Astyanax mexicanus: one gene and its partners. The protein of the gene in region 2 purifies or fractionates together with the protein of the main gene of each other region. This does not show direct contact. Links are inferred from orthologs where the notes say so. Each region holds a gene or a part of one and is shown on either strand. Other genes may lie near its edges.

The links.
Region 1: the proteins of slf2 (region 2) and slf1 purify together in Homo sapiens (co-immunoprecipitation; 3 studies listed by BioGRID and IntAct, with this or other methods). This does not show direct contact. The link is inferred for Astyanax mexicanus from reciprocal best matches to the Homo sapiens genes SLF2 and SLF1.
Region 3: the proteins of slf2 (region 2) and smc5 purify together in Homo sapiens (affinity purification with mass spectrometry; 3 studies listed by BioGRID and IntAct, with this or other methods). This does not show direct contact. The link is inferred for Astyanax mexicanus from reciprocal best matches to the Homo sapiens genes SLF2 and SMC5.

What each region holds. Positions count from the first base shown.
Region 1 is NC_064429.1:25,826,442-25,834,120, reverse strand, and holds the start of slf1 (SMC5-SMC6 complex localization factor protein 1), read left to right. Parts: upstream 1-2,455; 5' UTR 2,456-2,519; exon of another isoform or gene 2,520-2,783; intron 2,784-2,860; exon of another isoform or gene 2,861-3,275; intron 3,276-4,372; 5' UTR 4,373-4,373; coding exon 4,374-4,484; intron 4,485-4,809; exon of another isoform or gene 4,810-4,884; intron 4,885-5,926; coding exon 5,927-6,005; intron 6,006-6,873; coding exon 6,874-7,049; intron 7,050-7,135; coding exon 7,136-7,191; intron 7,192-7,321; coding exon 7,322-7,469; intron 7,470-7,679. UniProt on the Homo sapiens protein: Plays a role in the DNA damage response (DDR) pathway by regulating postreplication repair of UV-damaged DNA and genomic stability maintenance.
Region 2 is NC_064414.1:27,837,843-27,845,521, forward strand, and holds the start of slf2 (SMC5-SMC6 complex localization factor protein 2), read left to right. Parts: upstream 1-3,962; 5' UTR 3,963-4,068; intron 4,069-5,797; 5' UTR 5,798-5,845; coding exon 5,846-5,882; intron 5,883-6,306; coding exon 6,307-6,737; intron 6,738-6,883; coding exon 6,884-7,114; intron 7,115-7,621; coding exon 7,622-7,655; intron 7,656-7,679. Other genes in the region: cpxm1a (probable carboxypeptidase X1), read right to left, coding at 2,290-2,530. UniProt on the Homo sapiens protein: Plays a role in the DNA damage response (DDR) pathway by regulating postreplication repair of UV-damaged DNA and genomic stability maintenance.
Region 3 is NC_064427.1:23,096,523-23,104,201, reverse strand, and holds the start of smc5 (structural maintenance of chromosomes protein 5), read left to right. Parts: upstream 1-2,430; 5' UTR 2,431-2,480; coding exon 2,481-2,659; intron 2,660-3,394; coding exon 3,395-3,536; intron 3,537-3,758; coding exon 3,759-3,811; intron 3,812-4,066; coding exon 4,067-4,229; intron 4,230-4,567; coding exon 4,568-4,702; intron 4,703-5,288; coding exon 5,289-5,429; intron 5,430-5,930; coding exon 5,931-6,092; intron 6,093-6,185; coding exon 6,186-6,257; intron 6,258-7,679. Other genes in the region: mamdc2b (MAM domain-containing protein 2), read left to right, coding at 1-26, 125-209, 1,068-1,111. UniProt on the Homo sapiens protein: Core component of the SMC5-SMC6 complex, a complex involved in repair of DNA double-strand breaks by homologous recombination.

The DNA of each region.
Region 1 (7,679 bases), on a different chromosome or scaffold from region 2:
TATATTCACGTGGATCTTGTGGAAAACAACATGAACACCCTTCGAAAATACACCCTTTTTCAGGTTACTTTTGTACATTTACAATTATTTAAAACATGAGCATGTGAAAGTACATTGGAAAGAACATTAAAAAATATTATGATCCAGTAGATATATCATTAGTATGTAAATATCTAACTTTGTGTGGATTTCAGTAAACCAATAAAAAGTGGCTCCAGTTGCTGATTAATTAGTAGTTATTACAGGAATGCACCCACATCAAACAGCAGAGCATACCATATCTAACCAGCACAGTAGTTAACATCAGTCTGATATCAAAAATCAGCCATTAATAATCGGAAAACAGTATTAGGGCTAACATATAGGCCAACACCTACTACAGATTTCGGTCAATATCTAAAGACCGGTGTGAACTATAACTATACCCACATATTCTATCAAACCACAGAACCTACTAATCTAACCAGAACAGTTTCATCCATCTGTTACCAAACATTCAGCTCGATAACCATTAGAGTCGCCAGTTATCCATTAGACGCTATGGCTAATCCGCCATTTTGGGCTTCATAATAATAGTCTCGTAGCAAATTATATTAAACCATACTAAGAACATCCAATATTTTATTTTATTTGGCTTTACTATCTAACATTTAGATCAAAATATGTTAAAATATTCTATTAATATTTGCATAGTCTTGAATCTTTTGAAAATATCCTCTGACCTGTGTGTCTATGTATGGCCTGTATACATTGTTTGTCATTTTAGGCAATGGGTCTTAATTGGTCTAACGTTGTAAGAGATTCAAAGTACTTACAGCATATGTTACTGACTGATGTTCATTACACAGAGCTTTTAAGTCTGCCACTTGAAAAATTAAATTGAATTGTATGTATAGTTCTAAGTCAGGGGTGTCCAAACTACAGCCCGCGGGCCATTTGCGGCCTGTTTCCTTTTTTGGAGCGGCCCGCGAGGTATTTTAGAAATAGAATGAAAGTTGGCCCGCTGTTAAGCAGGTTTTTATAATGTGAGATTCAAAGTTTGAACGCTAGGTGTCAGAAACGGGCCAAAGAGTCTAAAAGCGGAGAGGGTGCGCATTTCTAGCGCAGAAAAACGGGCCAAAGAGTCTAAAAGCGGAGAGAGTGCGCATTTCTAGCGTAGAAAAACTGGGCAAAAGAATCTAAAAACGGAGAGGGTGCGCATTTCTAGCGCAGAAAAACGGGCCAAAGAGTCTAAAAGCGGAGAGAGTGCGCATTTCTAGCGCAGAAAAACGGGCCAAAGAGTCTAAAAGCGGAGAGGGTGTGCATTTCTAGCGCAGAAAAACGGGCCAAAGAGTCTAAAAGCGGAGAGGGTGTGCATTTCTAGCGCAGAAAAACGGGCCAAAGAGTCTAAAAGTTGCCGTAATTAAGGAGTTTAATATTAAGAGACATCATGAAATGAAACATCAATTTGAAAAATCTTAGTTTACACAACACTGTCAAAGATAAAGATAGTAAGTCAAGTAAAATGGTGTGTAAATGAAATAATCAGGAAAAAAGTATTATTTAAAGTGGTATTTTTTATTATTTGTTTAATTACAGAGTGTGGCCCATGACTTCAAATATATTTCTCCTTCTGGACCTCAACAAAAAAAGTTTGGACACTCCTGTTCTTTCTCCAAAGTACTTTGATGATGAATGTGATGTATGTGTGTGTGTGTATATATATATATATATATATATATATATATATATATATATATATATATATACATATATATATATATATATATATATATATAAAATTTTGCAATATTTGCACTGATCATGTAAGTTTTTACTAACAAAAGTAACAGCTGTGTTTTTTGCCTTTGTAATAATACAAAAGAGAATATCAACAAGTTAACTGAGATTAAAAAAAAAACCTCTATAAACATTTTATAATACATTAACAGACCCACATTACACAGTTTTATTACTGTAGCTAGTTACCTTATTGTGTAGAACATGCAGTCAGTGGCACTCCAAATCCATGGAACCAGGGAATATAATCATTATCCTCATTGTTCTTATTGTTTAATATCACTAATAGATGTGTTTATTCCTAATACGTCCAGGTTACTGAGTAAGTTAGTTAGTTAGCTAAGAAGCTCGTGATGATAGTCTCTGACTGTGTTTAAAACCTTAAAAATATAATGAAAAAATAATCTCTATATTCTCTTCCAGTCATTTAATCAAACAGTGATTAAACCTAAAGAAGGGACTGGAGTCACATAGAAAGAAAAAATGCTTAGTATCCAATGAGGGGGATTAATTAACTAGTTAACGTTAACTATCTAGCTGCCAGCTGACTCACACACACCTGTAGATAACTAGATAATTAGCTAAATGTGTGGTGTTTGATTAGCTAGCTAGCTATGAAGGGAATTAAGCAGTTAACGGTAGCATGGTGTTGTCTAGCTAGCATACAGAGCAAAAACGAGGAAAACAGGCTTTAATCTGGTGCATGCTGAGATAACAGAAGTTTTTACACGACAAAAAAGGTAAAATCCCTTCCTAAAACCCCGGTTCAGAGTATATTTCTGCAAAACCCAGCACCTTATCAACCAAAGCGTCTCTAACAACCAGCGCGTGCAGCTCCGCTTCCAAACATCCTGTACACGGAGCGGAGCAAACCATTCACACATGAAGGCGGGGGAGACTTTTCGTGTTCCTACACGTTATTATCTGCGTTTACGTTGATTATTTCAACTGTATGTTTTTTTTATTTGATCTTTAATTTAGTTTAAACCACTTAAATGTTCATTAACTCACGTTTTAGGGTAGTTATTCATATTTTCGCTTCTTAAAGCTCACCCCCGTATTTCGCAGCAGCGCACACGGTAATACAGCCCAAACCCACACGTCAGTTGACATGGACGCAAAACAAGCACACTCTGAATGTGTTTTATAACCATATTTTTAATCTGGTTAGTTGTCTTCATGTGATACGTTGTGGAATATTATATGTAACTAGTAAAGCGTGTTGGACGGCGCACTGGCTGAAGATGGGACGGCTTATGGAAGTTTAATAGCGCTAGTTTCCCGAGAAGCTCTGCTTTTTTGGCAGGAGTTTTGGCGCGGCTTCGAAAATGGCTAACGCTACCGCTAACGCTGGGTTCACTTAGCTAATAGTGACACTAGTCAGTTAAAGTCAGTTAAAGCTAAGTTAGTCAGTATGGTTAGCTTAGCTTAGCTTAGCTAGTGATTTCAGCAGCTCTTATATTATAACGGCTATCGTATTTGCACAATAATACAAGGTAAGACCGCTGCAGCTGAATATTTAAATAAAATAAGCTGAAAAAGACACACACGTTAGCTAACTACCTACCTACCTAACCTAGCCAACTAGTTTAACTGTCTATATGTATAACTAACCTATGTCTCTGTCTCTCCCTCTACTTTTCTGTCTCTGTCTCTCTCTCTGACTGTCTGTCTCTATCTATCTCTGTGTCTCCCACACATAAGATTCAAAGTAGCTTTATTGTTATATAATTACAGCAATAACAGCGATACAACAGATATATTTAATGTGTCTTGTAACTGTCATGCAAAATGTTGGCCCTATTTGGCCCTGATTTCCCTCAATTGGACCTGCTCTCTCTCACAATTGGCCCTGCTTTTTTCTCTCTCTCTCTCTCTCTCTTAATTGGCACTGCTTTCTCTCTCTCTCAACTGGCCCTGCTCGCTCTCTCTCAACTGGCCCTGCTCGCTCTCTCTCAACTGGCCCTGCTCGCTCTCTCTCAACTGGCCCTGCTCGCTCTCTCTCAACTGGCCCTGCTCGCGCTCTCTCAACTGGCCCTGCTCGCGCTCTCTCAACTGGCCCTGCTCGCGCTCTCTCAACTGGCCCTGCTCGCTCTCTCAATTGGTCCTACTTTCTCTCTTTCTTAATTGGTCCTACTTTCTCTCTTTCTTAATTGTCCATACTTTCTCTCTCAATTGTCCCTGTTTTCTCTTTCTTAATTGGTCCTGCTCTCTCTCTCTCTCTCTCTCTCTCTCTCTCTCTCTCATTTGGCCCTGCGTTCTCTGTCTCTCATTTGGCCCTGCTCGCTCTCTGTCTCTCATTTGGCCCTGCTTTCTCTCTCTCTCAATTGGCCCTTCTCTCTCTCTCTCTCTCTCTCTCTCTCTCTCTCTCTCATTTGGCCCTGCTTTCTCTCTCTCTCAATTGGCCCTTCTCTCTCTCTCTCTCTCTCTCTCTCTCTCTCAATTGGCCCTGCTTTCTCTCTCTCTCAATTGGCCCTTTCAGTTTGGGTAGAAAATGATGTAAATTAGGAATGCATTTTAAATGAGAAAAAAGATGATTGGCTGACGGCAGCAATGTGAATATTGCTGTCACCTACTCTGCCTGTCTCTCCAGCATGTTGGGGAATAAGTATGTGTTTCAAATGTCTGGAATCAAGAACCTCCAGAAGAAACGAGAGCTCCTTCAAGGAATCAAGTGTCTACATGGGAGTTATATAGGAGGTTCTGTGAGTATCCGTTTTACTAGAAATACACACTTCTGCTGCACATAGTCTGCATGGCCTAGCATGACCAGATGATTGACCAGCACCACTATTGTGCTGGTCATTAGCTATAGAATTTGATGTTCTAAAAGACAGTGGGAACCAGCATGTATTAGGTAGATCAGCCAGCACGAAACCAGCATTTGTTGTGTTTTTAGTACTCATAAGCTAATAAAACAGCAATTAACCAGCATTAGTCCAGGATAAACGAGCATTTGTTTTGTGTTGTACATGGGCACACAGGTAAACCAGCATAAACCATCAATTTTTGTGTTTTGAGTACCTGTAGGTGGTAAAACGGCAATGAACCAGCAGTAGTCCAGCATAAACCAGCATTTGCTGTGTTTTGTACCTGGGTACACAGGTAAAGAAGCACTAAAGCATAACTACACCAGCATAAACAAGCATTTGTTGTGTCTTAAGCACAGAGATGTTTGTTCAGCTGCAGTGAACCAGCATTAGTCCAGAATAAACAGTAATTCTTGTGGTTCAAAAATGTGTTTGATGGTAAATATGGGAATGTTGGTAGAGAAGCACTACACTATAACTAACCCAGTAAAAATTAGCATTTTTTTTGTATTTTTAGTACAATTGAACTAGTAAAACAGCACTTAACTAGCACTAGTCCCTCAAAAAACAGCATTCATTGTGTTTTGTATGTGTATGATGATGATAAAAATAGTCCAACATAAACTATTAATTGTTATGCTGCAGAACCATTTCAGCATAGACCAGCAATTGCTGTGTTCTAAGCACTTTTATAATGGGCACTAGCAATTTTAAGTGTCTGATGATGCATGTTTTAAACATGCATAAACATCCATACACTAGTTTTGGCCAGCATTTATGTTTATGTTCAGGCTAATCTACACTGTGTTGTTCAGCAGTTGAGACACCATTTGTAGTGTTGGTGAAAATGACCCCAGGCCTCATGTTTGAAAGCCATATGTTCTTTTGGCCTTTAGCTTACCCTTATTTTTCCACAATCTGGGTACGTCCTTCAAGAGCTCTACGGCTCTACTTATAATATGATGCCTTTTAGCAAATAACACCGACCGGCATTAGCACTTCCATGACATTCCACCTTACCGTATTCTCCCAAAAAGATAAAGTGGTAGTGATTAGCCCTGAAAAATGACCCTAATTGCTTGCCGATGCTAAGGTGTATTTTTGTCTCTGTAATTTTGTCCTTGCCCTCAATACCATCTTAATTTAGTTACTGACTGCTCTTCCTACTAATTGAAGTCTCAGGGGTATAAAATCCACCTCGCAGTTCTTGACCTTTGGCTCTGCTCTTCTACTGACAGGTTAAAAACCAGAATAGAAAGGTGACTTTGTGCGTTAGAGAATCTAGAAGCTGTTTTTTTATGGTTATATGCAGAAACTAACAGTTTATTTTTTTGCAGGAATACAGAGAGGAGATGACCCATCTCATCGTTATTCATGCTTCAGCAAGTGAGAAGTTCATCTCGGCATGTGCTGGAGGTTAGTGACGATGATAATTATTTATTTACTGATATACCTGATATATCTAAAATGTTAAAAAAAAACTATAGTTTTCCATAGTAATCAAGGGGTTAAAGTTTTAGCGTTTTATCTAAATACCTTACAATTTATTTTTTTATGCCATATGTGATTGTAAAACATGTATGCATTTAAATTTTATTTCTGCACTCTGTGTTTTATTTATTTTTTCTCAGTTTTTCCTCCACCTACACAAGTACAATGTACTTAACCACCTGCATATATATATTTTACTATCTAATAGGTTTAAATGGGCAATTCTAGCCAGAAACTGTCGGCTATGATCATTACCACTTACTGTGCTGTCCACTGTGGGTGTTAATGCCTGACAAGTGTTTAACTTCACTAACTAGATAACACCTCACAACTTAATACAGCTTATAAACACCCACACCTGTATAAGTCATGTATCTCTAAAATGGTAGCTTTGTGCTAATGGAACAAAAGGATGAATGAACATTTTAAGTACAGACATACAGACTAATTATATATTTTTTATTTGAAATATTTGGTAGTTCTTCTATTTTTGATTAATAAAAATGTGCATTGAAAATTGTCCTGTTGACCTGTACAAAAAATATTTAAGAGAGGACCATGATGCACCTAAGAATGAGGGAGCCATTTTCCCAAAATCATATTTAAGAACATCTTAAGATGGTGAGAGGATTGCAACCTAAGAAACATCTTGGTGCTAAGAACCTATTTGCAAACCCCCATCCCAATTTCTTTGTAATTACATCAGTGTTTTACAGCTAAACTATGCTAGTCTGTTTTTATTTACTCATCTGTATCTTCACTGATGTTTATCCTGTGTTCTTTTTTATTTTAGGAAAGTGGATTGTAACTCCAGAATTTGTTCTGGACAGTGTGAAGCAGAATGCATGGCTATCAGAAGCCTTATATGAGTTAAACCTCACTGCTAACACGAGGACTCCGTCCATGACCAACCCTCTTCAGAAATGGAGAGAGAAAGTAGCCAGAGGCGTTGTGTCTGGAGCTTTCCAGGTCAGGGTTGTAGTGCTGCATAATTGACTAAGTACAAGTCATAATTATTTCAAGTGTCTTAAAATGTCAGGTTTCTTTCCCAATAGGGCTGGACTGTGTGTCTTCATATTGAAGATCCTGATAGGAGAAGCATGTTCGAAAGGTGAGCATGTGAAAGAAAGTGAAAGAACTTCCAGCAGAGGTAGCAATATTAAAGTGAAATATGAATGAACTACTTTTGACTTATTTGCCATATTCTATTCTGCAGTATTTCAGTGTTTTTCTGTCCACAGAATACTAAAAGCAGGCAAGGCTGTGATTGACCCTGACAACCCAGCTGTTACACTTGTGTTCACCAAAGATGGAAAGAAGATTCCTCTGAATCACCTCTCACACAAACCTCACCACACCTTGAGTTACATCGCTCATCATCTCTTTGGGGTATTCTTTGCCTCTGATTTGAATCACAAATATTAATATATGAACGGTATTAGAGCTGCACAGTGTAGTCGTCAATTATTCAGTCTCGAGATTGGCCTTCACTGTGCTGATATTGCACAGGCAGGAGGTGTCCTCCTGCCAGTCACTGAATAGTTTATGACGTGCTATGAGCATTCTGATGATCGCAGATGTTCTTTAGGGAGCTGGAGG
Region 2 (7,679 bases):
TGGAACATCAATAACCTTCGTTACGCTGACGACACGACCCTTCTCTCAGAAACTGAGGATGGTCTGCGGCACTTGATAAAACGGATCAAAGACGAAAGTGCAAAGTTCGGCCTCCTCCTGAACATCAAAAAGACCAAGATTATGACAACAGCTGGGGATGGAGCTGTCAAGATAAAGGTTGACAATGAAGAGATCGAGTGCGTGCAAGAATTCACCTTCCTTGGATCCCAGATCGATCGAAGTGGGGACTGCAGCCTCGAAATAAAGCGTTGAATAACCTTGGGCAGAAACGCGATGTTGAGCATGAACAAAGTATGGAAATGCAAAGATATTAGCGTTAAGACCAAATGCAGATTGGTTTATGCCATCGTGTTCCCCATAGCCATGTATGGCTGCGAAAGTTGGACTTTAAGAAAAGCAGATAGGAGGAAAATCGACTCATTCGAGCTGTGGTGTTGGCGAAGACTGCTCCGAATACCCTGGACAGCCAGAGTGACAAACCAGGAAGTGCTGAGGTGCATCAATCCAGATATGTCGCTGGAAGGGAAGATCACAAGGCTCAGACTCATGTACTTTGGACACGTTATACGATCAAGTTCATTAGAGAAAGATCTAATGCTCGGACTGATCAGCGGCAAAAGACGATCAGGCCGCCAGAGAACACGTTGGCTTGACACCATCAAAGCTGATACTGGACTGAAGTTAAGTCAGATGACAGATGTCGTACAAGATCGGACAGCATGGAGAGAACTAGCCCATAGAATCGCCAAGAGTCGGATACGACTGAATGGATAACATCATCATCAATATATTGAAGTAATTTTAAAATAGGCCTTGTTCAAATGAACTTTTAAAAAAATATATGCAACCTGACAACAACTCATTCATCGACTTGCTAAACATTTCATTTAAACCACAACTCACTAAAGTATCCATTCAAGACAGCTCCCACAAGCTGTAAACACTTACAAGAAAGGAGTGCATCTCAACTGCCTCCAGCTGTGTGGTTTTGATCAGACTTTTGTTTCAAAGTATAAAGACCACATTTACTACTCAGCAAAATATTCTACCTTTTGGAGAACATCTGCATAAACATACAATACTTTGTATAGTGTGGAAAGCACAATAAACTTTTTAAATGCTGTGACATGTTTATTTTATCTTGTGAGTATATCTCATTCATTACCAGGAACATATTTTTGTCTCATAAACAAAACAGAAAGATTCAGAGATTTGATATAAATAATTCGAGTATCCTATTCGATGCCTACCTGCCAATTCCTAGAGATTTCAGCTAGATATATCAGGCATACTGTCAGGCCTACTCACATCAATTAATTCAAGTTATGTATCTGTCACAAAAAAGCACATTAGTGTATTTGATAGCAACCCTATCTTTTTTAACTAATTTACAATAAAGCCATCAGGACATAAGCCAAGTTCAAAAAAAGCGCTCCCTGATGACAAATCCAGCTTGATTTGTCAAGCAAGCATTGGTGGTTCACCAGTTTTTGACCAGCAGAGTGGATGCTGCAATTGATTAGCTTATTCATGTTGATCCTAGTTGGTCTTGCTTGTCAACCAACTTGTTCTTCATGCAGGTCAACCATCCTGCTTTTACTAGACATGCTGGTTACTGGCTTGATCAGGTTGGTCATACTTGTAGAACCAACTAAAACATAAAACATGCTTTTTATAGGTATATTTTTGAGTGAAATGAACATTGTTGTTTTATTCTATAAACTACGGACAACATTTATCCCAAATAAAAATACTGTAATTTAGAGGATTTATTTGCAGAAACTGTAAAATGACTGAAATAACAAAAAATATGCAGAGCTTTCAGACCTCAAATAATGCAAAGAAAACAAGTTTATAGAAATGTTCTCCTCCACCAGTCTTACACACTGCTTTTGGATAACTTAATACCACTCCTGGTGCAAAAACTGAAGCAGTTCTGCTGGGTTTGATGGCTTGTGATCACCCATCTTCCTCTTGATTATATTCCAGAGGTTTTCAATTTGGTAAAATCAAAGAAACTGTGAAAGAAAAGTGGTCTCTTATTTTTTTCCAGAGCTGTATGTTGGTAAAAGTAATTAACTGATCAACCAGCCTAAACAGCTCGAGCTGGTTCTGTTTGTTTTAGCAGGACAGTCAGCACATATAACAAACCACAGTTGCTCTACTGCATGCATGTAAGTTATCTACCTATCTATCTAAATGTGATATAAATCACAAGCTTCATTTCTCAGCTTCAGTTCTCATGCTGAACTGATCTGGTGAACTCGCCGGGTTTGCTTGGCTCTTCTTTCTGCGGATGAATCTCAGGAACCCTCCGCTGATCTTCTGCTGCCTCTTTCGCTCCGGTCTCGTTCCGCGTTTCATTATTAAAAGCTAATAATGTCCCGTTATTATTAAACACAGTGTCAGTCCCGTTACTCTGGAGCGTGGCGTTCTCTGCAGATGTGGACTCGTGCACAAAGCACCACAGCACGAGCAGCAGCAGGCTGAGCAGGCTCTGTCCGATCATAGTGACTGACTGACTCTGCTGCAGTGAGCCCACTTTACTCTGGGGTCAAAAAACTCTTTAAACGCCCCAGTAACCCAATACCAATACTGCACTTACCGTAAAGCCTGTAGTAGCCCTGTTATCCTCTGCCTGACTAAAACAGGGCTATGTTTAATATACAGACGTACATTATATACATATGTAAAATTAAACGCAGCTCGAGGCTTTTACTTTCAGTAACAGTTTTGGGCCATTCCACCAAATGGGTACCATTTTAAGGAGTGAATTTTGTGCCAAAGGTTTTACACAAAGAATAAATAAATAAATAAATCTGCAATGAAAATCTTAAGAATCAAACATAAAAAGTGTTTGTGGCAAATTTAAAAGAGAAACTAATATAGCAAATATATATTTTTTTGAATATACTCGGTTACTTTATTATTCTTTGCAGTTACTTGAAAATTATTTCAGTTGGGACTTTGCCAGTCGTTGCTTTCATTTTGTGTTTTTGTGGATTTTCTGTGGATTTTGCTGCTAAAGACTTTTTGCTCCTCCGTTGGTCATCTGATTTTAGATTGACCCTTACCCTCGTCTGAGGCCACGCCCACCCCGCCAGCTTCCAGGGTTCTTCCAAACCTGGATGAGCGAACGGCTCCAGTTCACAGCAGCAGACACTTTAGCTAACCCTAGCTAACTCACTGACTAAGCTAACTAGCATACTTTAAGCATGATTATTTAGTACCTCGCTAACGTGAGATTTTTAATGGAGTGAAACACTTGCTTAGAAAATAAATATAACCTTAAACATAACGTTTGTTTAAATTGGGAAAGTATCTGCTGCTGCTAAGCACTGGAACCCGTTAACTACTACAGGTTTGAACGAACGCTTACGGCTGGCGGGGTGGGCGTGGTCGGTCTCAGATGAGGGTTACCCGTCAGTCCAAAATCAGCTGACCAATGGAGATTTAAGGTTTAAGATTTAATATTTAAGCCCTACTCTAAGTCCCGCTCACCCGTAAAAACTGTGCCAAAACTCAGAAACACTATTTTTTAAAATAGTTTTTAGATTTAGATTTTAGATTTTTAAAACGGGTGTGAAACGAAAACGGGCGGAATTTCGGAAATGGAGTGGAGATTCCTATAAAATGTGGGTGTGAAAAAAAAAATGGGTGAGGATTTTACAAATAGGTGGAAACAAAAAATGGTGGAATTTCTTAAACAGGTGAAATACGAAAATGAAGGTGATGGAATATATATACACACGCACGCATAAAAATCTATTTAATTTAAAACGTCATGAAACAGTATAAAGAGCTTAATGTGTAGCTGCAGTAAATACCAGCTACCTTCAACTCAGGCAAGAGTAACTTTGGCAGGGCGCCAGGGCTCCTCTCTGAACAGCGGCGGGCTGTCAGACTGAGTCCGGTTTGGTTATTGAAAAAACAAAACAACAAAGTTGTCTGACTCCTCCCACACACAAATGGCGGCTTCTGCAGTGTGTTTGGGCTGTGTTACACGGAGGGAAAAGAGCGCGTTTCACTCTAAATAATATGCTGAAGGTATGGCGGATGTTTTGTTATTAAAGCAGCAGGATATTAGACGGCCGGTTAGTCTTTAGTCAGACAGACAGTTAAACTGTAGCAGGATAGCTCACACACGCTGTCTTATACTGACTACAGTGTATAATGTTAACAGAGCTAGTGTTAGCACAGGGAACTAGCTGTTAAAAGACTAACCTAGCTAATTCAGTGACTTACGGCTTTCTGAATATCGATACGAACAGCAGATTCGTATGCTGTTTAATGAAGCTAAAACTGTGATTTGTTATTTTAGCTGGTTGCTTGTCGGCGACACTGAACTGTACCCGCGGAAGTGAGCTAACTAGCTCGTTAGCTTAGCTAGGTTAACTTAGGTTAGCTTAGGCAGCATTAACTTTAGACTGCTCAGCGAATCGTAACTGCTAATCTAGTTAACGTAGCTAGTTTTAGTTAGGCTAGCTAGGTTAAATTGGTTGGGTAGCTAAAATACCTCATTAGTTACCTCAGATGTTAACTAGCATGCTATTTTAGCACATTAGCTAACTACTCAAAAGACACAGACCGCTCAGTATAAACAATGCTGCCTTCAATTCATCTCGGAAACTTACTGTCACGCATTGATGTTTGCGAACCCGTTAAACTAGCGAAAATTGTCTCGCTTATTGCTAACTATATGTCTGCATACAGCTCTGAAAAAAAAATAAGAGACCACTTTAGTTTCTGATTTAGTTTCTCTGATTTTGCTTTTTTTTAGGTATATGTTTGAGTAAAATAAACATTGTTGTTTTATTCTATGAACTATAAACAACATTTGTCCAAATTCCAAATAAAAATATTGTCGTTTAGAGCATTTATTTGCAGAAAATTAGAAAATGCTGAAATAACAAAAGAAAAGAAAACAAGTTCATATTCATAATTCAGAAATCAAGGGTGGAGTAACTCTGGTTTTTAATCACAGTTTCATACAGTTTGCCCTGTTCTCCTCCACCAGTCTTACACACTGCTTTTGGATAACTTTATGCCACTGCTGTTGCAAAAATTCAAGCAGTTCTGGTCTGGTCTGGTTTAGGTGGTCTTTTATTTTTTTCAGAGCTGACTATTTAACTTAAAACCAAACAAGCCTTGGGCATTTATTTATTTAGGAGAATGAATCTACATAATCGCAACTGGAAAAAGTATCTGGTGTGACTACAACAAAACATGTCCGCTGTTCAGTTTGGAGAATTTTAGGTAATTCCAGCGTTGCCAAGTAGCATCTTAGCAACTCAGTTCCGATACATCAGCTCAAAGATGCCGTTTGCTGATCAGCATCACCCTTTAGAGTGATGTGGGGAGAGAGCGCCATTTACCTACCCAGAGAGAGCAAGGCCAATTGTGCTCTCTCCTGTAGCCGATGGAAATCTACATGAACAGGAATCAAACCGGCGAGCTCCTGATCATAGTGGCAGCTCTTAGCCTGCTGAACCACTCTGAGCCCTTGAATAGGAGGATTTTTTTTACATGTTTGATGTTTACTATTAGCTAACTGGGCCTATAAATCATTTTAGTAGGATGTTATATTAAATGATTGATTTAAAATTCACAATTAATCACACCAAAGTACTCTTGTAATTATCTGTCAGGGATAAAATATAAAAGCAAGGCTTGTCGCAGTGTTCAGGACTTGATTGATGTGTAGGTTTATGTTATTGTTTAGTACATGTTTGGTAGTCTGTTGCATCACCTCATTTTTAGTATTTGTTTTGCACAGATGACCTGAGAGATTTTAAGGACGCATTTTTATTTTCCTCCATTTAAAATGAAAAGTAGCCTCAAGCAGCATATCAACTCTATGGGTGAGGGATACATTTGCAGAATCTTAAATGAGAACTTGATTTATTGATTTGCTACTTGTCTCTTATCTAAACTGCAAAATAAACTATCGTGTTCCGTGGCCTCTGCCTGTCTTGCTTCATTAAGTAAAGGTTTGGTGATTTGGAATGGTGCTGTGTCTTCCTATGTCTCTAATCGCTTTTACTTGTGAGGTTATGGGTCTGATTTGCAGGAACTTGCATGTTTGAAGCTTGGGCATAGTCAAAAATCAGTAAATGGTTGAAAATGGGTTATTACTAATCTATTACTAATTACACCAGCATGGCTATCATTCAGGCTGAGTGGTTTTGTGCGTTGGATTTATGTGCTTTATGATGTAGTATAATATGCTTTATTCATGTACAAAAGCTTCAGAGCAAGTTTGACGCTGTAATTTTTCTGTTCCAGTGAAGGAGCTCATTCCACTCGGTGTTCCTCGAAGATACAGTGCTGATGAGACAAGCACAACTCAACTGGCACCATGTTGCCAATTTCAGGAAACTGGCGAGAAGCAAGTTAATGTGCAGGAATCTTTAAACCCACTGCCAAAACCCATGCTTCCTATCAAAAGCTCAGTGCTTGAGCAGAAGAGTATATCTGCTGTAGCCTCTTCTACAGGCTCCAGAAAAGGCTCTGGAGGAGGTCAGGGAAGTCTCCCCAATGTGCTCTTGAGAAAACTGCAACTGGACGACAACAACAGTAGTCACTCCATTAAGGAAGTGTCACTCCGACCTGCTACTAAAAAAGACCCACTGAAGAAAACTTCGGGTTCTTACAACAAAGACAAAAACAAAGAATTTGCCTGGGCTTTTTGTAAACAGTTAAATGAGAATCTCAAGGTGATTACTTAAATATTTGTTTTTTATGTTTAAGATAGAGTTGTGAGGTTTATATATGCTCCTAGGATACCTTACTGTTTTTAAGTATTTGATTGTATCTACTCTTTGTTGACTTAAATGGACATTTTTCCTTGTTCTGTATTTAGGTTGGAAAGACCCTGTTGCACTCAGACAGCCTCCATAAGCAGAGTCCTGTGCCTCGTACGCATGTTTCAAGACCAGTTCCTGAGAGCCACACTTCATCATCCACTCAGAGAGGAGGCAAGCTTCCTGGCAGCAGTATGGAGCAGCGAGGCCAGCACTCTGCAGAAAAGGTGGACAAGCTACTGAATGGGGGTCACAACTCTACTTTGCTCAGTCCTGTTTCACCAGAGCAGGTGAGAACCCATTTATACAAAGGTCCAAATTAATTAAAACCTAGTTTACTTACTTAAATATATTAATTGATTTATTATCACAGTATGCACATGCTCACTAATCACATCGTATAATGTCCAGTGTCAAATTATTTTTTTTAGAACTATTTTGCTGCGTGATACAAAAGGGAAATGTACACTGTTTTAATTTTCTGATTTATATTTAATCAGATTTAGTCATTAAAAAGTTCTAAAATCAGTGTCCCAATGTCCCAACAGTGTCTCAATACTTTTATAATTTATGCAACATTGCATTCATTTCAAGATAACAGGCTATTCTGTATGACATTTATGGCTCTTATTATAAGTTTAATATAGTTTATATTTGCCTATGAACCCATGGCTGAATGCCAGTGACACATGGGGATCCACAGCCCACACTTTTAGAATAATAATAATACAGATATAATAATACAGCAAAGTTTGTAATGCTTATTCTTGTAATGCTTCTTCGTTTGGTCTTCTCAGGAAGAAATCACACCCTTCCAGGCAACTACACCAGGTATTGTGTCTATATTTTTCTGTA
Region 3 (7,679 bases), on a different chromosome or scaffold from region 2:
GCTACCAGTATGATCATTCACACCAAGTAAGAAAACTTAGTTACCCACAATCCACCAGTGTTCATACTTTCAAAGAGATCTTATTTTCATGTAATTGTTACGTATCTTTCTTCTTCTGGTTCAGATCGTTTTTGAAGCTCTCCGGGGGCCGTCTCTACGAAGTGATATTGCGATTGATGACATCATATTTCAAAAGGGACCCTGCAAAGGTATTCCTCGCATTAATGATACACAGATTATAATATGCCTTTTAATCTAAGGTGATATCATGTGATGTCATTCCCAAACTTTAATTATCTCATTTCCACACATAAGGAAATCGTTCCCAAGCCTTAATATTTTGTTCCCACGCATTAGGAATTTGTTCCCAAGCCTTAGTTATCTCGTTCACACGCATTAGGATCTTGTTCACACGCCTTAATTATCTCATTCTAACACATTAGGGTCTTGTTCCCAAGCCTTAATTATGTTGTTCCCACGCATTAGGATCTTGTTCTCAAGCCTTAATAATTTTTTTCCCATACATTAGGATCTCGTTCCCAAGCCTTCATTGTGTTGTTCCCACGCATTAGGATTTTGTTCCAACACCTTAATTATCTCATTCCCACACATTAGGATCTTGTTCTCAAGCCTTAATTATTTTGTTCCCACACATTAGGATTTCAGTTATTAAGTTGGAGCCACGCATTACTTTTTTTTAAACATGATTTCACCATAGGTTCTCCTTTAAGCTTCATTAACAATTCTACCTTTTCTGGCTAGTCTAATATTAGCAATTAGCCTACAGTCAGCTATTGTCTTTTCTCTGGTTAGCATAAGCATTTAGCAATATCTGTTACTGTCCTTTTCTGGTCAGTTTATCTGTATTTTCTAGGCGACAAAAGAAACGAATTTCAGGCATTTACAGCACTTACACATAAAATATAACAACAATATATGAATAGTTTGATGTGTTTGTCTCAATAATACTCAATAATATTAAATGTACAATATTATTCTTGGGCATCTCTAAAACACCCATCAAGGCATTGTAAAAATAATAAACTCTTTCTCTTTCCCTCCCACAGATTCTGACCGGCCAGCATCTGGAGATCTTAACAACATTGAATAAAACATTAAATACAGCACACAGAGGTTAATCGTAATTAACAAAATTTGGGGGAACACTTGAAAAAGAGGAGATGTGTTTTTTGAGTTAGTCAGTCATCCCTGGCTCCTCGCTCTTTGTAACTAACTTGAAAACAAATTTGCTATCTGGATTGGGAGATTAAAGTAGGATTTTACGAGTTTGCTTGTACTATATGATTGCGTCATGATAAAGATTTTTTAATAAAGCTCAGTTCTGCAGTATGTTTGGTTTATACATATCACTGAACTATGGAGTAGATATAGTGTTTATGGAGAATCTTTAATAAAGAGGAAATTATACTGAATTACAAATGTGTTTAAATTCTTTTTAAATACTCTTATTTTATTAGATTTTATTTTTGAACCATTTTCACCATTTCCACCAATGATAAAAAATTGAGTTTAAAACGTGATAAATAAAAAATAAAATGATTATTAAGCATTAGATGATATATGAATGTATCATGATTTCTGGAGGAAAGCTATTGGTGTATAAAATAAGCACCTACCGCCCTCTAGTGAATAAATTGTTTAATACAGTCTATTTCTGTTACATAACTTTAAATGTTGGGAACTCGCCACTAAAATAATATTCCTGCGAGTGCAAAGCAGTAAAGTAAGTCCAGATTATAAAGTCATAAAATTGAATTTTTAACATCGATTTTTTAAACCTCTCTATTAAGTTGAATTTGCGAGAAACTAGTTTTTAAATGTCTTTTTCACTCAAAATGTATATTGTCTTCTATGTTGGAAATCTGTTGGATTTTTATTTTTTTTATTCTGATTTTTTATTAATGATACATTTCAGGTACAGACACTGCTCAGCACATCTTTACCTTATAAAAAGTTCAAAGTTAACATACATAGGTTACATTATTATTATTATTATCAGTAGTAGTATAGTAGTAGTAGTAGTAGCAGCATATTATTATTAGTAGTAGTATTAGTAGTGGTAGTAGTAAATAATTAGTAGTAGCATATGGGCTGGACATTTTAACAGCACATGAAGTTATAAAAAAAGCTTAAATTAAATCAGATCATAAGGGATACAGAGACCAAAAGTATAAATTGCTTTGAGACCAAGATTGCTAAATATTTATTCGAGTAAAACAAGAGAAATGGTTTATACAGTTCAAAAACCTTACTAAAAACAAATATTTTAAATTTGCATTGGTGTATACAGAACGTATTAGATATAATAAATATAACAGTAAATTCCTGGTTTAACTGAATGTTTATCCTTGACCTGAATGAAGAGAGGGACGCGCCAGTCACGTGACCGGCGGCGGCCAATGACAGTGGGCTATGAGGCGCTACAGCGGCGCGAAACGAAAGCGGAGAGGTGCGGGAGAATGGCGCTCCAGAGCAAAAAGAGGAGAATAAGTCACATTTTAACAAACTCTCAGCTTCCCAACAGCCAGAACCTGCTGCTGCCCTGCAGCTCGCAGAATGGCAGCTTCGCCCAGGAGAACGGGCAGAGCGGCCCCTGCGTGGAGGGATCCATTCGCCGCATCACCATGCAAAACTTCCTGTAAGTAGTTAAGCTAGCGCTAGCTAAGCTAACAGGCTAACAGTGTTATACAGCAGCAGCGCTCAGATTCTCTAATATAAATACGAGTTTATTCATGATTTGTAGAGCAGCCTGTGCTGAGTATTTAAACTTCTGTCTATATATTATATTTATGGGTGATGTGTGTAACTGGAGGCGGAGGGTCATGTTTTATATTCTGGGTTGACGTTTGTAAACATTTAATGACAAGTTACTAACCTTGTTAACTAGCGCTAGCATAAATATCTATCTATGTTTATATATAACTATCTATCTACCTAAATATATCTCTATATGCATATATATATATATATATATATATATATATATATATATATATATATATATATATATATATATATATATGTATGTATATGTATATATATATATGTATATATTGCCTAAAAATTATGAGTATGAGTTTCTTTGATTTTACCAAATTAAAAACCTCTGGAATATAATCAAGAGCAAGATGGATGATCACAAGCCATCAAACCAAGCTGAACTGCTTAAATTGTTGCATCAGGAGTGGCAAAACATGATCTAAAAGCAGTGTGTAAGACAGGTGAAGGAGAACATGCCAAGATTCATGAAAACTGTGACCAGGGTTATTCCACCAAATATTGTTTTCTGAACTCTTAAAAAAAACTTTATGAACATGAACTTGTTTTCTTAACATTATTTGAGGTCTGAAAGCTCTGCATCATTTTATTTCAGCACATATGATCACTCAGAGGTTTACCCTGGACCCAACTTAAATATGATAGTGGGAGCCAATGGCACTGGCAAGTCGAGTATTGTCTGTGCCATTTGTCTTGGACTGGCAGGGAAGACTGCTATCCTGGGCAGAGGGGATAAGGTAAGCCCGATAACACTGTTTGTTCTTATTTCATGTAGACTCTTAGGAACACATAATAATATGTTTATGGGTTGTAGGTCTTCGATACCACAAATGAGCCATACATATTGAGCCGAGGTATTCAGACTTGTTTCCTGACATGGGGAGCATCAGCTCTTTGTTTGATGTTGTTTGTTTGATGAACATTATTGCATGTTTTTCATTGTATATTTGTTTTTTCAGGTCAGCTTGTATGTTAAGAGAGGCTGTCATAAAGGATCTGTGGAAATTGAACTGTAAGTATTGTCTGTCTGTCTGTCTGTCCTCGCTTCCTATCTTTAAAGATAGATATAATTTAAAAAATATAGACATAACATTTTATTTATCATTTAATGAACCATTTATTGTGTATTTTTTTGCATGTTTTAAATGTTTAAGTATTTTCTCTGGTATATATTAACACGAACAATATAAGATGTGAGCAGTTGACTAACTATTTCTTAATAGGTCCATCTCTAGGTCGTCTAATGCTTCACCCACTGTTTATTCAGGTACAGGAAAGAGGGAAACTTGGTGATTAACAGGGAGATCCATGTAGAAAATAATCAGAGCGTGTGGATGATGAACGGTAAACACTCCAGTCAGAAGGCTGTGGAAGAAGCAGTCAAGGAGCTCCAGATTCAGGTCGGAAACCTCTGTCAGTTTCTGCCTCAGGTGAGTAACTGTGCAAACTGTTCAATGTGTGTGTGTATATATATATATATACGGGCTTCTTTGAACACTTACCCTTATAACACTGCATTTCAGCGGAGTGGCTTTACTGCTCCTTAATATCAGACTGGTATAATTTATACATAAGGAGCACTGAATTATAAGGCCCACTGTCGATTTTTAGAAAAAAATAAGGATTTTAAGTGCCCCTTATAGGGCAAAAAATACTGTGTGTGTAATTTTTAGCTTGGATCAGTTATATTAAGTGTTAAGAGTGCAAAATTACCATTAGCCGTTAAATACCAAGTTTTGCCTTTACAGTGCTTTCTTCTGCTCAACAGGAGAAAGTTGGTGAATTCGCTAAAATGAGTAAGATTGAGCTTCTTGAAGCCACCGAAAAATCTGTTGGACCACCAGAGATGTACAACTTCCACTGTGAGCTGAAGACCTGTCGCACCAAAGAGAGGGACCTGGAGGTACATTTGTTGTTGTGACTGTTTGTATCAATCTGTGACAAATTGACATGCCGTGATGGTGAAAAGGAGAAATTACTTTTAGAGTAGTTGCGTTTTTACATTCTATTGTCAGTAATGTATGAATTTAGATCATTTAGAGCTAATTCTTAAGGCTATTTTGGTTAATGCATTGTTATGCATTGATATTGTCATGCAGAATGCTCTGTAGTCCAGGACTAGTTTTGAGCCCACTTCAGGGAACCAGCCCTATAAGTGTAACACAGTGTATGAGTGTATAAAGGCAGACGGTAGGCCTGTCATGGTGATTATTATTGCTTAAACTGTATAATAGTTTCAGCAATATTTGCTATACATAACTTTATTGCAACTTCATGATCATTTTATTATGCAATTAAATAACTAAAATAAAAGAAAGCATGCAGTCTGGGATTAAGTCTTTGTGTGGGTATTGTATATTTAAGGAATAATAAGAACTTGCTTTTACATTTTAAAACCAAAATAAATGAAATTTACATCTGATTGATTTAATTTGATTTGAGGGATACTATGCTTATGGGCTATTTTGTGTGTTTCTGTGTTTCTAAAGAATTTGTGTAAAGAGAAGGCCAACTTTCTAGAGAAAGCAAAGCAGAGGAACGAGCGCAATAAGGTGGATGTGGAACGGTACCACATGAAGAGGAGACATCTGGATATGATCCAGATGTTGGAGAAAAAGAAGCCTTGGGTGGTCAGTGTCTGTTTCTGTGCATAATATATTTTTTTTATTATTTTGTAATGTTTGCTGGTTGTCTTACCTGGCTGTGGAAACTATTGGTAAATAATCGCTTAAGTGCTTAAATCTTCTGAAACCCTGACTTAAAAAAAAAAGCAATGTTCACATATGGACATTAGTTTATTTTAATCTTTAAAATGATCCTTAGTCCAAAAAAAAAGTAAATAAACTTGTTAAGAACATTAAATTTGTTGTTAATTTTTACCTGGCCCATGTTTCTGTCTGTACTGGCTGTAGAAATCTTTTACTGGGATTCCTGCCGTCTTGCTTTTAATCAATTGAGTGTAATGTTGTTATGAAATTGAATGGTATGGGCAGTGAAAAGAATCGCCATTTTAAAAAAATGAAGAATCATGGTGCAAAAAAGCAGAATTGTAATTTTCCATTATGAGGATGCAGGTTCTCAAGAGGTTAATATGGATAACGACTTTCTTTTTCCTTTATTTCTTGGTTCAGGAGTACGAGACAGCTCGTAAAGAACTGGAAGAAGTTAAAAAGCAGAGGGAAGAAATGAAAAAGACGGCAAAGTCACTAAAGGAAACTCAAGCTCCCCTTCTGAAAAAGATCCAGGCTATGGAAAGCAAGCTACAGCCTATTGAGAATCAGATGAAGGAGAAGGTCTTGAAGTTTCTCCCTTCAGACAAATTCCCTTTATAATCCTTATATTGTCACTGTTGAATTTACTGTTGACCATTATTGTTGTATTCACAGACTGTTAAAATCAGAGAGGCGTCACAGAGATGCAAACACAAGCAAGACCAGCTGGACCGGAAACATAAGGAGGTAAAAGGCTGCTTGTTGTGCCTTTAGTAAATAACAATATAATTTTTGGCTTCAGTAATTATGTACATGTGGCATAAAATACCATATTGTTGCACAGTAAAAAAAAAAAAAAAGAAAAGAAAAAAGCTCACTGTAAGTATAATTACTGTACCTTTCGCAATATAAGTTGCAGTTAAAATCCTTTAATTATCCTAAAAATCGATTGAAAAAAGTGCACCTTATTTTCGGGTGTGCCTTATGTGTGAATTCTACCAGTCAGGTTGTACAGAACAGTAAAGCCACTTTAGTAAAGTACAGCGCTAGATCACTAAGCGCAGCTAAGCTCAGCGCAGCTAACCCCGCTAAAATACTGGAAATCTAAGCTTACTGTAAATACACAGAAGCTGCCAGAGCCTCGAGAGAGCACAATTGGCCTTGCTCTCTCTGGGTGGGTTAGATGGTAGTGTTTCCCCACATCATTCCTAGGGTGACGTGGACCAGCACAATGCGTCTGTGAGCTGATGTATTGGAACAGAGTCGCTGCACTTTCCTGAATGGGTGGGACAAATTGCCCAAATAAATTGGACGAAAAATTGGTTTTATTCCATATTTACCATACAGGTGCTGGTCAACGAATTAGAATAATTTGAAATAGTGCAATCATGAAATTCTTTGAATGCATTTTTTGTGCAGAAAGCAAATCAGGTGTTCACCGCACCTGTCCTACTCGTTAGACTAATCACAGAACTCGTTACCTGGAAAAAAAATTGCTCAGCTGAGCTTTCCAAAAGGCCCATTTAGGCCATTTAACTGTGACACTGTTGTTTTATTGAATTAGAATAATGGAGAAACCGTTTCATTGAATTAGAATAAATGCTCGAATTTTTGTTTTCTGTGAAGAGTGTTCACTGTGCAGTATAAAGTCAGGGTTGAGTAGAATTTCTAAGTTGTAAAATCAATCATGGGTAAGCAGCGCGACCTCTCAACCGGAATAGTGGCTCAAATTCAAGCCCTTCGCCAACAAGGCTTGACCCAAACTAAAATTGCTGAGCAGCTCGCCATCAGCCAGTCTTCCGTCTGCAAAGCTCTCAAGAAAAACTGCAGCAAGCGCACCAACTGTTCCGGCGTCCGAAAAACTTCTGCTCGCGACAACAAGCAGCTGAGAAAGATCGCAGTCAGCAACCGGTTCAAGTCCACTTCCGAGCTCACCGACTTGTGGAACAAGCAGACCGGCGCTGACGTCTCCAGATCAACCACTTACCGTCGTCTGCGCGAACTCTGCTTCAAATCTCGCGTTCCAGCAGTAAAACCGATGCTGAACAAGAAACAAATGGAGAAACGGCTGAAGTGGGCCAAAGAACACGGCGAGTGGACTGCTGAAGACTGGCAGAAAGTGGTCTTCAGTGACGAATCACGCTTCTGCATCTCCTTCGGTGACCAAGG